2 linked regions of the Tamandua tetradactyla genome follow. The protein of the gene in region 2 interacts with the protein of the main gene of each other region in a biochemical or structural test. Links are inferred from orthologs where the notes say so. Each region holds a gene or a part of one and is shown on either strand. Other genes may lie near its edges.

Region 1 (7,726 bases), on a different chromosome or scaffold from region 2:
TTTTTTTTTTTAGAGGGAGGAAGGGAAGGAAAGACAGAGAGAAGGAAGGAAGGATGGAAGGAAGGAAGGAAGAAAGGGAAACATTTTCTTGTTTTATTGTATTTTGTTTGTTTGTTTGTTTTTTACATGGGCTGGGGCCGGGAATCGAACCGAGGTCCTCCGGCATGGCAGGCAAGCACTTTGCCCGCTGAGCCACCGCGGCCCGCCCTCCCTTCTTTTTTAATACAGGCATTCATGACAATAAATTTCCCTTTCAGCCCAGCCTTTGACACATTCTATAAGTTCTGATATGTTGTGTTCCTATTTTCATTCATCTGCAGATAGCTACTGATTTCTCTAGAAATTTCTTCTTTGACACACTCATTGTTGAAGAGTATGTTATTTAATCTCCACATATTTGTGAAATTTGTTGTTCTTTGGTGGTTATTGATTTCCAGCTTCACTCCATTATGATCAGAGTAAGTGCTGTGAATAATTTCACTGTTTTTAAATTTATAAATACCTGTTTTGTGTCCCAGCATATGATTTATCCTGGAGAATGTTCCATGCCTACCAGAGATGACTAAGTCTAACTCATTTATCAAATTGTTTAAGTTCTCTGTTTCCTTGTTGATCCTCTATCTGGTTGTTCTGCTTATAGAGGAGAGTGGTATATTGAAGTCTCCTACTATTATTGTTGAAATATCTACCTTTCCCTTCAGTTTTGCCATTGTATGTCTCATGTACTTTGGAGCTCCTTGATTAGTGGCATAGACATTTATGATTGTTATATTTTCTTAGTTGTGTCCCTTTTACTAATATATAATGTCCTTCTTTGTCTCTTATGATGTCTTTACATTTTAAGCCTATTTTGTCCATTATTAGTATAGCTACTTCTGCTTTCTTTTGGTTGCAGCTTGCATGGAACATTTTTTCCCTCCTTTCATTTTCATTCTATTTGTATCCTTGTGTCTAGATGAGTCTCTTGTAAACAGCATATGGCTGGATTGTATTTCTTAATCCATTCTGCCACTCTGTATCTAATTGGTAGGTTTAGTTCATTAACATTCAAAGTTACTTCTGTAAAGGCAGTTCTTGAATCTACCCTCTTTTCCTTTGGATTTTATTAGAGCTCTATGTTCTTTCCCCTCTTTCTCTTTTTATCCTTTAGGTTATCCTTGCTGGTACACTTCAATTCTATGCCCTCCTCCAGACCTCTCTCTCCCTTTTTTTATTCAGGCAGAACTCCCTTTAGTATTTCTTGTAGAGCTAATCTCTTGTTGACATAATCTCTTATTAAACTAAAGCCTTAGTTTGTCTGTGAAAATTTTCATCTCTCCCTCACTTTTTTTTTGCAATTATTTTCAATATTTTATCAAAAAAATCTTGTAAATTATATCTTCCTCAGTTTTGAAAGACAATTTGGCTGATAAGAATTCTTGACTGAACGTCTTTCTCTTTCAGGATCTTAAAAATATCATATCACTGCCTTCTTGCCTCCATAGTGCCAGTTGAGTAGTCTGAACTCAGTCTTATGTGGTTTCCCTTGTATGTAGTAGATTCTTTTTCTCTTGATGCTTTCAGGATTTTCTGCTTCTCTTCAACATTTGACAGACTGATTACTATGTGTCTTGGGGTATGCCTATTTGGATTTATTCTATTTAGAATTTGTTGGGCTCTTTGATTTGTATATTTATGTCTTTTATAAAGGTTGGGAAGGTTTTCCCCAACCTTCTGGGACTTGGATGATTCTTATATTTGTATGCTTTGTTTCATCTGTCATTTCCTTGAGATCCAATTCACATTTTTCATCTTTTTTCTTATTTCCTCTTTGTATGTTCCTTTCTCTAGTTTGCTTACTCTTTCTTCTGCTTTTTCAAATCTGCTGTTGTGTGTCTCTAGTATAGTTCTTTTTATTTGGTCTACAGCATCTTTAATCTCTGTGACATTTGCTATTTTTGTTTATTCTTTCAAATTCCTTTTTATGCTCTTCTCATGTCTTCTTGATCTCTTTTATGTTATTAGCCATCCCACTGATTTTATTTAGTAAACTTATATGAACATCTTCGATTTGTTGTTTCAAAGTCAGTGTCTCCTCTGATGTTTTAATTTCATTTTCAGACTGGGCTGTATCTGTTTGCAACTTCATATGGTTAGTGATCCTCTGTTGTCTTCGTGGCATCTAAATATCTTGATAGGGTTACTTTGGATGTTGATTTCTTTCAGTATTCTAAAGCTTTGTATTTGCGGAACGGGTATGGAGCAGAATGTGGGGCATTGGGAGTGACACAACAGTGCAACGATGGGTTGCGGTGCAGGTATGTGCATGGGCCGGGGACTCTACACTGGTGCCTGTGAATTTGGGTTGAGGGTCACGGAGTTGTGGACGTGCAGTGCAGGAGCCACAGGGGCAAGGTGCAGCTCAAGCACGCCTTGGAGTGCAGGGGCAAGGTGAGGCATGGGGGACACAGAGGCATGTCATGGCAGGAGGTGAACGGGGGTGCTGAGCAGTTATGCTCTGGCTTGTATGTGGGCAGGATGTGGGTGGGCACGTGAAGCATGTGGGTTGTGGGTGTCAGAGTGTGGGGTGCAATGCACAGAATCAGGGTACAGGGAGGTTGGGTGTGGGTGTGTCCTTGCACAGAGGAAGGGGTCCACGAGGGCAGGGACGTGGATGTACGAGTGTGTAGGGGCAAGGAAATGTCACGGAGGTTGGTTGTGGGACATGCATCAGGGGTGGGCGGGGCCCTGGTGCGTTGGGCAGGGCCCTGGTGGGTTGGGCAAGGGTGTGCACGCGGGTGGGGTGCGGGAGCGGTGGAGTGCAGGGGTCAAGAGTCATGCACGGATATGTGGGTGTCCAGCAGGGAGGATGTGGCTGTGCTGCTGCATGGATCTGGGGGCCAGGGCCCTGGTGTGTGCGGGTCCGGGTGGTGGGGCCTTGGTGTGCACCTGTGCAGAGCTCAGGGGCAGTGGGGTGGGATTGGGCCTGTATGGGCTGGGGGCTAGAGTGCCCGGATACACAGGTCAATCTTGTCCAGAACTGAGGCTGCTTGGTGTGAGTGGGCACGAGTGTGTGCACGTGTCTAGGGGACAGGATTCTGATATGCATGTGTGCAAAGCTCAAGGGGAGCCAGGCGGGGTTGAGTGACTGTATGGGCTGGGCTTAGTTGTGGCCTAGGTATGAAGGTGAGTGTCTGCAGCCCGGATGTGCCGGTGATTGCCTGTAGGGGTTAGGGAGGGGAAGGTGGGGGTTGAGGGGCTGGCTGGGGTACACAGGTCTTGGGAGGGGCAGGGCGAGACTGCACTTGCGCAGGAGAGGTGGGTCAGGCTGGGACAGGCTTGGGGGCACGCGCAGGGGTGGGGGAGTGGGGCAGCAGTGTACAGGGAGGGGGGTCCGGGCAGCACAGTGGGGGTCAGGTGACAGCGTTCAGGTGCGTGGGGTGTGGGGCTAGTCACAGGGCAGGGGGAGACACATGTGAGTGTAGCACATTCAAGGAACCCAGCTTGGCTCCCTTCCTTGCCCCCGTCCCTGTCCGTGCACTCCTGACAGCTCCCGCCTGTCAGGAGATGGACGCGCTGGGCTGTTTGCACTCGTTGACTGGTCTATGGTTCTTTGTGTCTCAGTTCTTCTGCTTTTCAACCAGAACCTCCCTAGGTGATGGAGAAGACCCTCCCAGGTCACTTAACACCCTGGAATTGCTCTCCCGGTCTTTTTTCTGTCAATTTTCTAGCTGTTCTTTCGAGCGGTGGCAATTCAACCTATCCTATTCCACCATCTTCTTGGGAGTCTCAGTTACTATTATATACTAATTTTACAGACATTAAAGTGTTTCATGTACTAAGAAATGATGATCATACATCTATGTGATGATATTAAGAATTACTGATTGCATATGTAGAATGGAATGATTTCTAAATGTTGTGTTAGTTAATTTTTTTTAATGAATAAAAAAAAGTGTTTCATGAATTAATAACCTAAACTCTGGGAAGGAGCCACTATTATCTATCCATTCTTCATCTGTCGATACTTACCATTCTGAATAGATCCCAGGGTTCCTTGAAGCATTGCCCATGGGGCACAAATGTCCCTTAATTTCCCGTACATTTGACCCAGTTTTGGACCATCCTTCATCTTTGACTCCTTCTTACAGCTCCCTTGAATGAATACATATTCTGAGTCTATGTTTTCTACAGCAGCATAACTTCAAAATATAAATAAATGCTCACCAAAGGAGTATTTCACCTATGGCATAAAAAGAAAACTAAAAGCAATTTATTATAATGTAGGGTTATTCCATAAACTATCATTGTGAAAGACATATTGTGTGAAAGTGTATGTGTGTGTTCTTTTTCTTTAGGTTACATGGACTTTGTTTGTAAAGAAAGGGTGACTCCTCCAGGGGTGCATGGATTCGTCCAGATTTGGAGCAAAGCGACTGGGATGACCAAGTCAAAAGAAGCATTCGTGAAAATAGTGGACAAAGAGAAGGAAATTAGACTGGTGGTTCACTTCAAGTCTGAACACTTTATAAGGACTTTTCAGTTAAATAACAATATTACAAGTGTTATCCTTAGACATCACAGGGATAAACAAAGCTACCTGCATTTAGCCCTCCAAAACAGCAGTTCCCTGTTTATCAAGAAATTGTCCTTCAGAGATGCTGAAGAGTTGAAGATATTCCTGGACAGAGTCCATCAAAACAAGTTTCAAAAATCCATGAAACTTGATAGTGCCTTTGACAGCAGGATAACACACCAGAAAATCAGCAAAGCTCCAATTCACAAAGTTTGTGACATGCCAACCTTTGGATCGTTTATTACAGAGAAAGGAAGTAGAACACCTGTCCTTCAGGAGATGCCTTCATTAACATCAGAATTGTTGACACTTGACAGGTCGGGGTTATTAGAAAATCAACGTGGGCAGAGGAAAAGAATGATGTCATCTTGTCTAGAGATGAATGACGACTTCCTGAAAGAGTATAACCCCATACTAAAGAAGAAACACAAGACAGATCCCTTGACTTATGTAGGTAGCAATATGAATAGACAGTTTAATGTTAAAGAGCTAAAAGAGAATGGAAAATTAAAATCTGGACCTTCATCAAAGGCCAATTCTGCGGGAAATCCTAATCTAGATGAGACTGCTCCTATTCAGACTCTCTATGCCAAAGGAAGTTTGAAACTTCCACTGGAGCCAAACTGTAGCCTGAATGACCCAGGACAGAATAACCCCCAGGTGCCATTTGACTCTGACCCAGAACAACTTTGGCAAGGCTTCCCCAATTTGGGAAACACCTGCTACATGAATGCAACTTTACAGTCGCTATTTGCAATTCCATCATTTGCCCATGACTTACTCAGTCAAGGGGTTCCATGGGAGAGCGTTCCTTTTGATGCTCTCATCTTGTGCTTGACCCAGCTGCTTGTTTTGAAAGATACTTCTGGCCCAGAGATCAAGAAAGAGTTACTAGTGAATGTTAAAAATTCCATTTCTGCAGTTGCAGAAATATTCTCTAGCAACATGCAAAATGATGCTCATGAGTTTTTGGGCCAGTGTTTGGATCAGCTGAAAGAGGACATGGAAAAATTAAATACTGTGTGGAAGACTGAGAGGGGGCCTGGGGAAGAAAGTTTATTTCCACAGATTTCTGCTGGCGCTGCTGCCACCAAAGTGTTTGTTTGTCCTGTTGTTGCTAACTTTGAGTTTGAGTTGAAGCGCTCCACTGTCTGTAAAGGGTGTAGTCATGTGGTTTTCAAGAGAGAATTAAATAATTATCTCTCCATCGACCTTCCCCAAGGGATGAGACCATTTCCTTGGTCTCTTCAATACTCTTTTGATCTCTTCTTTAAAGCAGAAGAGCTGGAGTATAATTGTGAGAAGTGCAAGCACAGGGATTCTGTGGCAGTGCACAAATTCAGTAGGCTACCCAGGATTCTTATTGTTCATCTGAAACGCTATTTCTTTAACGATGTTTGGTTGCTTGTGAAAAATGACCAGCAAGTTGATATTCCCAAATACTTAAATTTATCTCATTATTATGATGAAAGCACCAAACCACCCCTTTCCTTATACAGAAATGCACGTATTGGAGACTCCCAAGTCCTGAAAGTTTCTCCAGAGACAATTTCTGGGCTAAGATCAGACAAGGAGGCTGAACCACAAAAGTGTCAGGGCTTCTGTGAAGGGTCAATCCAGGAAAAGCAGCAGAGTGACCAGGGACATATTTCTGGATTAAATATAAGAGAATCAGAATTGATAAATTCAGGAAATGGGACAGCCAGTGAAAAGGAGCTGCCAGCAGCTGACTCAGTGATGGGTCAGGTAGACAACTGTCTTTCCCTGATCTGTGAAGCTGGAGGTAAATCCACCGTCAGCCCAGACACAGGACTTATAGAAGTGCCTGAAAATCCTGAACTCAAGAAATCTGTGAAAACCAACTCATTTGTAGAGTTACATTTTGACAGTGCCATTGAGTCTGCTGAAAATTTTTACGCGGATAAAGAAAACAGCTTTCCTGCAGGATCTCAAGGAATGGTTGAAAAGCTCCAGCAGTGTGATGGGGAGAGAACCAGTGAAGAATTCCATCATCAGGCACTACCTCAAAGCCTTAGGAACCTGGATGCCCAGGAACTTACAGAAGAAGACATCATTAGAGCTGCAGAACTAAGTGGGCAGAAGGCTGGCATGAATTCCCTCTGTGTATCAGAAGTTAAAGCCAGGAAACTGAAAGGAGGTGCCACGGTGGGAGATCCTCCTCATGCTTACCAGCTCATCAGTGTCGTCAGCCATATTGGCAGCTCCCCAGATTCAGGCCATTATGTCAGCGATGTATATGACTTTGAGAGGCAGGCCTGGTTCACTTACAGCGATCTATGGGTATCAGAGATCCAAGAGACTATGATACAAAAGGCCAGGCTTTGCAGTGGATACATCTTCTTTTACATGCACAGTGAAATCTTTGAGGAACTACTTGAAAAGTCAAAGAATTGACTGCTTGCAGCACAGAAGCAGGGGTGACCCTTCAGGAATAAGAGCAAGACTACTCCTTGTACAAACATGCTTGGCTGCCCCCTTTAATATCACGCTTTCATCAATAGAAGGAAAATTCTTAATTCTACCGAATGATGAAGAGACAGAAACACTTATTATGGGGTAAAGAGTTGTTGTAACCTTGCTGTGGACATGCTGGTCTCATAGTTCAGGGTGATAAGCATCTTCCTCTCCCACAAGATTAGAACGGGGCCTTTCATGTTCAAATGCAGTTTTCAAATGTTGTTTCTAAACCAGCATTGTAAGCATCACACGGGAGCTCATCAGCACTGCAAATTCTTGGGTCACACCTCATAGTGAGACAGAAACTCTGGGGTAAAAGCCAGCCATCTGATGGAGATTCTTGTACTCAAGACAGTTTTAGAACTATTGCTTCAGTGTGTAGAGTATCTTGTGTATTTTGCTACTGAAAACATGAATTTCTTAGGTAAAGATTTTCTTTTCATTTTTGTGTTCCTTGTATTCATGCATTCCCTTTATGATGGGAAGGGAAGCGGATGAAGTAATGGATGATGACTGTTATTAATAGTACAAAAGTAAAACTGTTCTTTCATGAATCAGAACAAATATATGTCATTATTACAAGGGATTAAAAATAAAGTGATATGTTTGGGAAATGCATCTATTGCAAACTATGGACTATAGTTGATGGTAATATTTTAATATTCTTTCATGAACAATGTCAAATGTACCATA
Region 2 (8,035 bases):
TCTTGGTTCAAGCCCTTATTATACATTAGAAACTAAGGGCCCTGAATACAATGTGACTTGCTCAAAGTTACAAAAATATATTGTGGCAAAATCAGCACAGCCCCTACACTTTCTAAATATCCAGACCAGTATACTTTTCACTACACCACACTGCCTTTACCATATTATGCAACCTAGTCTACAATATACATACCTCACAATTTATTCTAACATTCTCTATACCCAGATCCAGAATGTTAAAATCTAAATGACTACAAGTACCTACGTAGATTTCTGAGGCTGATATATATAATTTTGTTACCAGAATTAGGTTTAAGAAGTGCCCAAGTGTTCCTAATCACAGTATTAGGAATTTAAGGATTAAAATCAGCTGATGATCTTAGAAATCTGTTTCTACAAAATGTGTATCTGGCCTATGATTGAAGCATATATTACACAGTTTCTAATTACATTCACTTAATGTCAATCAGTTATATTGTTATTTGAGAAATATGGAATATGACTTTTTTTTACTTAAAAAGTAATATACCTGTACTGTATAAAATATTGAAAGCAATCCAAAATACTTATTGTTTTTGGTTATCTTTCTCTGCTCTGTTATTCATGATTATAACCTAAAAGCAAAATCTAAGTTGAGAAACAGCCATGAGTGCCCATGGTGCACTATGGATTATATAACAATGTATGCCAAAGATGCAAGCAAAAGAAGAACCTGATGAAATTGTGTCATGGTTTCAATAGCAGAAAGATCCAAATTCACCTTTAATGTGAAAATAAAATGGGTATTAGAAAATGAAAACAAATATCCTAAATCCACCAAACGAAGTTCTAAACATTATTTAAACTGAAAGAAGGGTCATTGGACATGTGGGAAAACTGAAAGAAGGGTCATTGGACACATGGAACCCTAACCAAAAGTGAAAACCTTTGGGGGAAGAACTGCAAAATGATAATGTCTTCTTACTAACTCCAATTCCTCCATGAAGCAAGAAAGCAAAAGCTTTAGAAAACAGTGTGCAAAACTGAGGTTGTTCTAAAAATCAAATGAAGTTAAGACTGTGAAAGCATTGGTAGACCATGAAGTACAAGTTATTATTATATAACAATTTGTAGTCTACAAGCATAGCAGTTTGCCACAGGGTAGACGTAAAGGCTTATTTAAAAACTGCAATTCTTGTATACTGACTCACTGAATTTTTATTTTTAAAAAAGAAAGAATGTTAGTCATGAAAGCTGGATCAACTACCACTTCTGAAAAAGGAATTTATCATAGCCTCAATAGAAGAAAACATGCAAAAAAATTCCCCCTCCCTTTTTTTTTTTCAAGATATGGATCTTCTTTTAGCCATGTGACCTTTAAGCAGGTCACTGTTCCTCTCTGAATCTCAGTTTCCTAATGTTTCAGGCAGTGTGTTGGGTATTTTGCCATAGTGTTTAATTGACTAATAGGATCTGTTATACAAAGTGAGATAGAAATTAACATCTCTATTTTACAGTTAAGGAAACTACAATTCAAAGGGGTTAGTTAGGAAATTATGCTGCCAACCAGGCAGCTAATAAGTGGCATATTTGATATACTGCACCTTATTCTAACTCCAAAGATCCTGTTCTTCCTAGCATATTTCCTTGAAAAATAAAAACAAGGCTGGTCTCAATAATTTCCATGATTACTCCTTGCAACAAAAATATAATCCAATATTCTTCCAAAATCAAATAGGAAAAATATGTATTTATTTGATGACTGTGAATTATATTACACTTTTAGCTCACTGCAATCTAAATTTTAGATTTTTAGAGATAACTTTTCTCGAGTCTATAAGTTTTCAGTAAGACATACTGTGTTCTTCATCGTATATGTAATGCAAAGTGTCTAAAAAATTTAAAAACTGGTAACTTTAATAGATGCCATTTTCATTCAAAGTTTTTAACATGTTTTAAAATGTCTATTCATACTGTTTTATCTTTTCTAAATTTATAGTCCTTATCGCCAATCGCTCATCTGTAAACTTGAAAATAAGCAATGTATTAAAGACAAACTGGAATATCTTCTAAAATAACTAAAATTTTTATAGAATATGAAACGGATTAGGATTTTCCAACCGTGGTTTCCCGACTGGTCTTACATTTTAGTTGTCACCGCGATCTTTAGTTACCGCTTCAGGATACGCTACTTGAAACATCCTTCCATCATAACAGACCAGCCTATGACTAATGGTGAAATTTATCTAAACTAGCCTAACTGAAGGCAGAACATTTGTTAAGATTACGAGTCCTACTCTACGGAATCGACGAAACTGAGAACCATTCGGTACTCTGGAAGACAATGTATTTAGACTCGGCGAGCTATTAATTTAACATTTACCGAGCGCCCACTACCTACCAGGTACGGAGCTTGAAAGCTGAACGTCATACAATCCTTGGCCTTTAGACTAACTGAAACTCCCAAACGGCCACGGTCTTTCTGAATTTACTACTTAGAGAAACCAGAACTGGTGGACCACACTATCTCACCAGTTCACCCTTCTACTTGAGGTGACCCAAATCCGGGCACTGGATTATCAAATCCAAATTTAAGAATGCCGAAGTGAGGAAAAAAGAAATCTACCTCGGAGCAGGTGAGCGCTGCGAGTCCCCCCAACACCCGGTATCTGCAAGGTTGTGGGGACTCCAAGGCGGACCCTGAGGGGCGCCCAGAATCCAAGAGGTCGGGGAGGCGCCTTCAGAGCCGGGACCAGGCAGAGGCGAGGACCGCCCAGGGCCGGTACCTCTTTGCGGGTCCTCGCTCACCTCTTCTACCTCGATCTCCTTGTAGTCGATCTCTTCAAAGTTGAGGACCTGGAAGGGGGTTTCGATCATCTCACCAGCCGAAGACGAGGAGGAGGAGGAGGCGGCGGAGGCTGTAGACATGATCCCTCGCGAAGCCTGGGGAGGCTGCTGCCCGGACACTCCGGGGGAGGCCCGCGCCCACCCGCCTCTGGACTGGCCTTCAGCCTGGAGCCGCGCAGCGCAGCCCAGCCACCCCGCGATCCGTGGCGGGGGCAGGGGCCGCAGCCTCAGCCGTGTCCCGGCTCCAGCTCCGGGTCGGCTGCGCTTTCCGCCACCCGGCCCCGCCCACCACACTTCCGGCTCCGGTCTGAAATCGGAAACAGGCGGAGGGTTGCGGCTGGAAGGCGGGGAGGGGAGAATTTGGGGCCTGGGAAAGAAAAAGGAAGGACAGGTTGCGGGTGGGGCATAAGGGTGAAAGGCTTGCTTGAACTTGTAAAACAAATTTCGCGAGATCTTCGTTAACAGGGACCCAGCAACGGGATGATACCGCGAGAACTCTTGCGCTGACATAATTAAAATGCGCGAACGGAAGTGGCGTGCAGCACGACTGAAGTCGTTGTGGTTGGTCCTTTAAGAAGCAGCGGGAAAGATTAAAACTACGGTTTTGCCTCTGTTTTGGTGAACTTTGTCATGACCTCACTCCGTTTAGTCTGAGCGGCTTGCAAAGAGGTCGGGATAGTATTGAACTGAGTTTTTGTGGCAACCTTACTTTTCAGTTTCAGCCCTAAGGTAAACTGAGCTGTGTTCTTAAGAAACCTCGTAGAATTTGTTTTCCTCAGTGTTTATAAAAGGAAACAGTTGCTGTTCCTTTAAACTCTGAAAGGCCGAGTGTTCACAAACAAGTCAATATTTTGTTCTTACAATATTTTCAGAGATTAGTTAGATAAGGTAGATACTTTAACATAATTTGTTGTGTTCACCTCGTTAGAGACTATATTAATAACACGTCAAGTGCAGAGCACTACCATAGATGCTTTACATTTAACTTAATCAGTAATCGCCTTGCAAATTAAAGATTTTTGTTGCCATTTTCAGTACGTATAGAAAATAAACTCGGGTTAAAACAATTACTGGTCCTCACAAGCTAGTAGAACCTGGACCAGTGTGTCTCAAAGGCTGTTGATTTTGCCTATGTTGTGTTGCCACCGCAATTTTGTTTTAAATTAGCTGCTAAACCTCAGTCAGTTTGACCTGAAGCATAACTGTGGGAAAACTGAACTTGGACATGAAGACTTAAGAATAAATATAGACGGTGGTTGAGGCAGTGGGTTTGAATAATCAACTCACTTATGGACACTGCGTGGAAGAATCACGGATGGAACCCTACGCGTATGTTGTCAAATTCTAAGTCTCAGTAGGAGACTGAAAAGTAGATTGCTATGAAATAGTCTGAATCGGGAAAGTGAGGAGAGCATTTCAATTAAGGAGTAGTCAATCAAATAAATGGGGTACACAAGGAAGTAAAAAACATTTGTGATTGCAAATAGGTCATGGGATATTCTAATCAGGAAGTTAAGAACTTCTGGAAACATTCGTTTTTTATTAGTTCTAGTGACAATGATAGTTGGACGAATGGATAAAAAAATGAAAGAATAATTTCTTCTCACTATAAGCAGTCTCTGAAGGCTCTCACAGAAGGTCTTGTTTTCCCATATGTTTCCATTCTTTTTCTAATGCTCAGATTTTCCCTGAATTTTGGACCTATTGGACATATTTACTTAGAGGTTACATAAACACCTAAACTTTATGATGCCTGAAGCAAATTTAAAATTTCTCCTCCACCAAAAGTATGTCCCTCCCTGTGCATTTCCTATCTCAGGGAAGGGTTTTATCCATTCAGTTGTCCAAGTGAGATAACAGAACATTTCTACACGTGAAATGATAGTGCACTAATAATCAAATAGAAGCAGATTAAATCAATGGGATGATCATTTCTTACCTGTCATTCCTCTCCTTGCATTACCAAACTAGGACTGCCTCTTACTTGTGCTGTTAGTCTGTAGGACAGTCTGTAGGTCCATATCTTATTTGTCTTTGATACTCTGATCAATTGATGCTACAAAGTGGGAACTCAAGAAATGTTTATTATGTTTTCTGAATGAATGAATAGCTTTTGCCAGGCCTCCCTTTCTCTGGAATACAAGATCTGTTTTCTACTCCTTTGTTTAGGAAAGTATCCTGCTGACAACCAACTAATCACTACAGCAACGATGCTGTTCTTCTTGATTTTCTTTCCAATATTTTATGAAAAATTCAAACATATTGAAAAGTTGAAAGAAGTTTACAGTGAACATCTATATACCCACCACCAAGATTCTATTAACGTTTTACTGTACCTGCCTGTTCTAGTTTGCTAGCTGCTGGAATGCAACACACCAGAGATGGATTGGCTTTAAATAAAAGGGGATTTATTTTGTTAGTTCTTCAGAGGAAAGGCAGCTAACTTTCACCTAAAGTTCTTTCTTACGTGGGAAGGCACAGGGTGATCTCTGCTGGCCTTCTCTCCAGGCCTCTGGGTTCCAGCAACTTTCCCTGGGGTTATTCTTTGTGCATCTCCAAAGGCCTGGGTTGAGCTGCGAGTGCTGAGATGAGGTATGCTGAGCTGCTTGGGCTGTGCTATGTTGAGCTGTCTCATTTAAGCACTAGCCAATTAAATCAAACATCATTCATTGCAGCAGGCAGGCCTCCTAGCCAACTACAGATGTAATGAGCAACAGATGAGGTTCACGTACCATTGGCTCATATCCACAGCAGCAGAACTAGGCACCTTCACCTGACCAAGTTGATACCTGAACCTAACTACCACATTGCGTAATCATATATCCATCCATCCATCTATCCGTGTTTTCTGTTGAATGTGTTTCACAGTGAGTATATTGCATAATTTTGATCAGCTGCTCTGATACATCTGCTTCTATATTTTACCTGGTGACTTGAACTTCTGATATTGATATTAGTCTGAAATCAATCCTTGTCCTATTGGCTTGCAGATTGCTTAAGCAGGCAAGTAGGCCCAATAACTGTCAATTCCCCTAGCCCCTCTTTCCCCACTAGTCCTTGTTACTAAATTTTATCATGTGTTTTCATTAAGCCCATCTATTATGTTTTATTCTACATTACAGAAGTTATGTATGTAGTTGAAAAGCCATCTTTAAAAAATTCTATGAATAAATTTTTCTTCATTTTTTTCTTTGTACTTTATGTTGGTGAATTGTATTTGGTGGGTGATACAAAATGTCAGTGTTTTCTCCCCTGGATTTACCCAGGGGAATTTTGAAAATACAGATCCCTTGTGGCTCACCTCCAGAGATTCTCACGTAATTGGTTTTATGTGGGGCTCAGGCATATGCATGTTTTAGAAGTTCCTCTTTTAAGATTCTAAGGTAACTTAAAGGAAGGCACAGATCAGTTTGACTCAAACAGTGAATTTTTGTTAATTTTATATTGCCTAGATGAACTACATGGAAACTTGGGCCTGGATGTCTCTATTCTTGGTCCAGAATATAAAAGCGAAATCCCTTCCTCTATATTAGAATCTAATCCTATATTAGATCCTATATTAGAGAATCTTTATCCAAGGAAAGAGTTCTTATCTTCTTCTTGAGAGTTTGTACTTATTTTGACACCTTAGCTTTTATTTAGTGACAATAGATGAAAAATAACAAAAGGGGGAAACATGGTTTTTTCTTATTATTTGTGCCGTTATTCAGTGGGATCTGTAAATGGTTTCAGATAAAAATGCTTTCAGATATTAGCAAAGGAATAAGAACACTCATGCAGTCAAGTAGTATTTAGAAAAACTATCAGGTTCTTGATCTGGAGAGATTTTTTTTTCTCTTTGTCTGCTTGGCACCTTTTCCTTAGCTTCTGATAGTAGACCATAGCCCACTGTCGACAGTGATAGGCGCCATATATTAGGTTGGACCAATCATTGTACCTGATACACATGCCTCTTGGAATCAGTCCATGTTATGGATTGAATCATATTCCCCACAAAGATATATTCATATCCTAACTGCACATCCTCTGAATATGAACTCATTGTAAATAGGCTCTTAGAAGATGCTATTAAGAGAAACCAAAATGAATCAGCATGAATCCAATATTACTGGAGTCTTTATAAGTAAAGGAAGTTTGGACATAGGAGTAGAGAGATAGATTGCCATGTGATGGAAACAAAGATAAGTTATGGATCATTAGCAAGCCACCACCAGAATACTATACACTTTGGAAAAAGCATGGTCTACCAATACCCTGATTTTAGATTTCTAGCCTCCAAAACTGTGAGACAATAAATTCCTGTTATTTAAGCCAACCAGTCTGTGGTATTTGTTATAGCAACCCTGGCAAACAAAGACAGTCCAAGCATGGTCATGCGATTTAAGGTGGGCCCAGCAGAATTTTTCCCAGAATTTTTCTAACCAGAGCTGTTAGTGAACAGTTCTGTTTGGTGACTGTGACATGCAGTCTGGGAGTTGCTTATGGCCATATTTCTCACTGAGTTAATAAAGCCTGGCCGATTGAGAGAATGAAGTGTACACCCAGTAAGAAGCAGAGATAAAATACAGAGAAAGTTCTGGAAGTAGTTGTGTCTCTGGATCCAGTCACCCCCAGGGTTCATCCACTTCTCCCATTTTGTGATTGGTTGTGTAGACCAGTAAATTCCCATTTTTTACTTACGCTGGTTCAAGTTATATTTTTGTCATTTGCAACCAAAGGATCTTGTGTAATAATACAGCTTGAATCTGGAGAAGTGAGGGAGGGGAATGGAGCCCATCTTAGTTTACCTCAATTTTGACTGTGCAATTCCTTTTAATTCCTTTTTTTTCATGAATTAAAGATGGAATCTGAACATCACAATTTCATCTCAACTTCAGTCACCAGTTCATTGTGTCTCCCCAAATTTCCAGAAATAAACCTCAAGTTGTTTAGATGGTCTCCTTGAAGTCCCTCTCCCCCTGTTTTGAGCACCCTCCACCACCCAGCCCCATATCAGCCCCCTGATAACTACTCTAATCTCCAACTTTGTCTTTAATTTTAATCCTTTTATGTTCTCCAGGGATGAGGGACCAATGGTTTCAAAATCCTTTACTGACAGTATTTTTGGCATGTTCTAAATGGGATTTTATTCTTACTTCAGTCATTTTGGAAATGGAAATATTTGACAAGTGGATTCATAGAGACTTTGCAGAAACTGAGACTAAAATAG

What was found. The genes of interacting proteins can lie anywhere in the genome.
Region 1: the proteins of MAP3K7 (region 2) and USP29 form a complex in vitro, tested with the Homo sapiens proteins (2 studies listed by BioGRID). The link is inferred for Tamandua tetradactyla from reciprocal best matches to the Homo sapiens genes MAP3K7 and USP29.

What each region holds. Positions count from the first base shown.
Region 1 is NC_135342.1:2,040,073-2,047,798, reverse strand, and holds USP29 (ubiquitin carboxyl-terminal hydrolase 29), read left to right. Parts: upstream 1-4,342; coding exon 4,343-6,970; downstream 6,971-7,726.
Region 2 is NC_135331.1:147,859,774-147,867,808, forward strand, and holds the start of MAP3K7 (mitogen-activated protein kinase kinase kinase 7), read right to left. Parts: upstream 3,130-8,035; 5' UTR 2,908-3,129; coding exon 2,788-2,907; exon of another isoform or gene 2,766-2,787; intron 1-2,765. UniProt on the Homo sapiens protein: Serine/threonine kinase which acts as an essential component of the MAP kinase signal transduction pathway. Plays an important role in the cascades of cellular responses evoked by changes in the environment.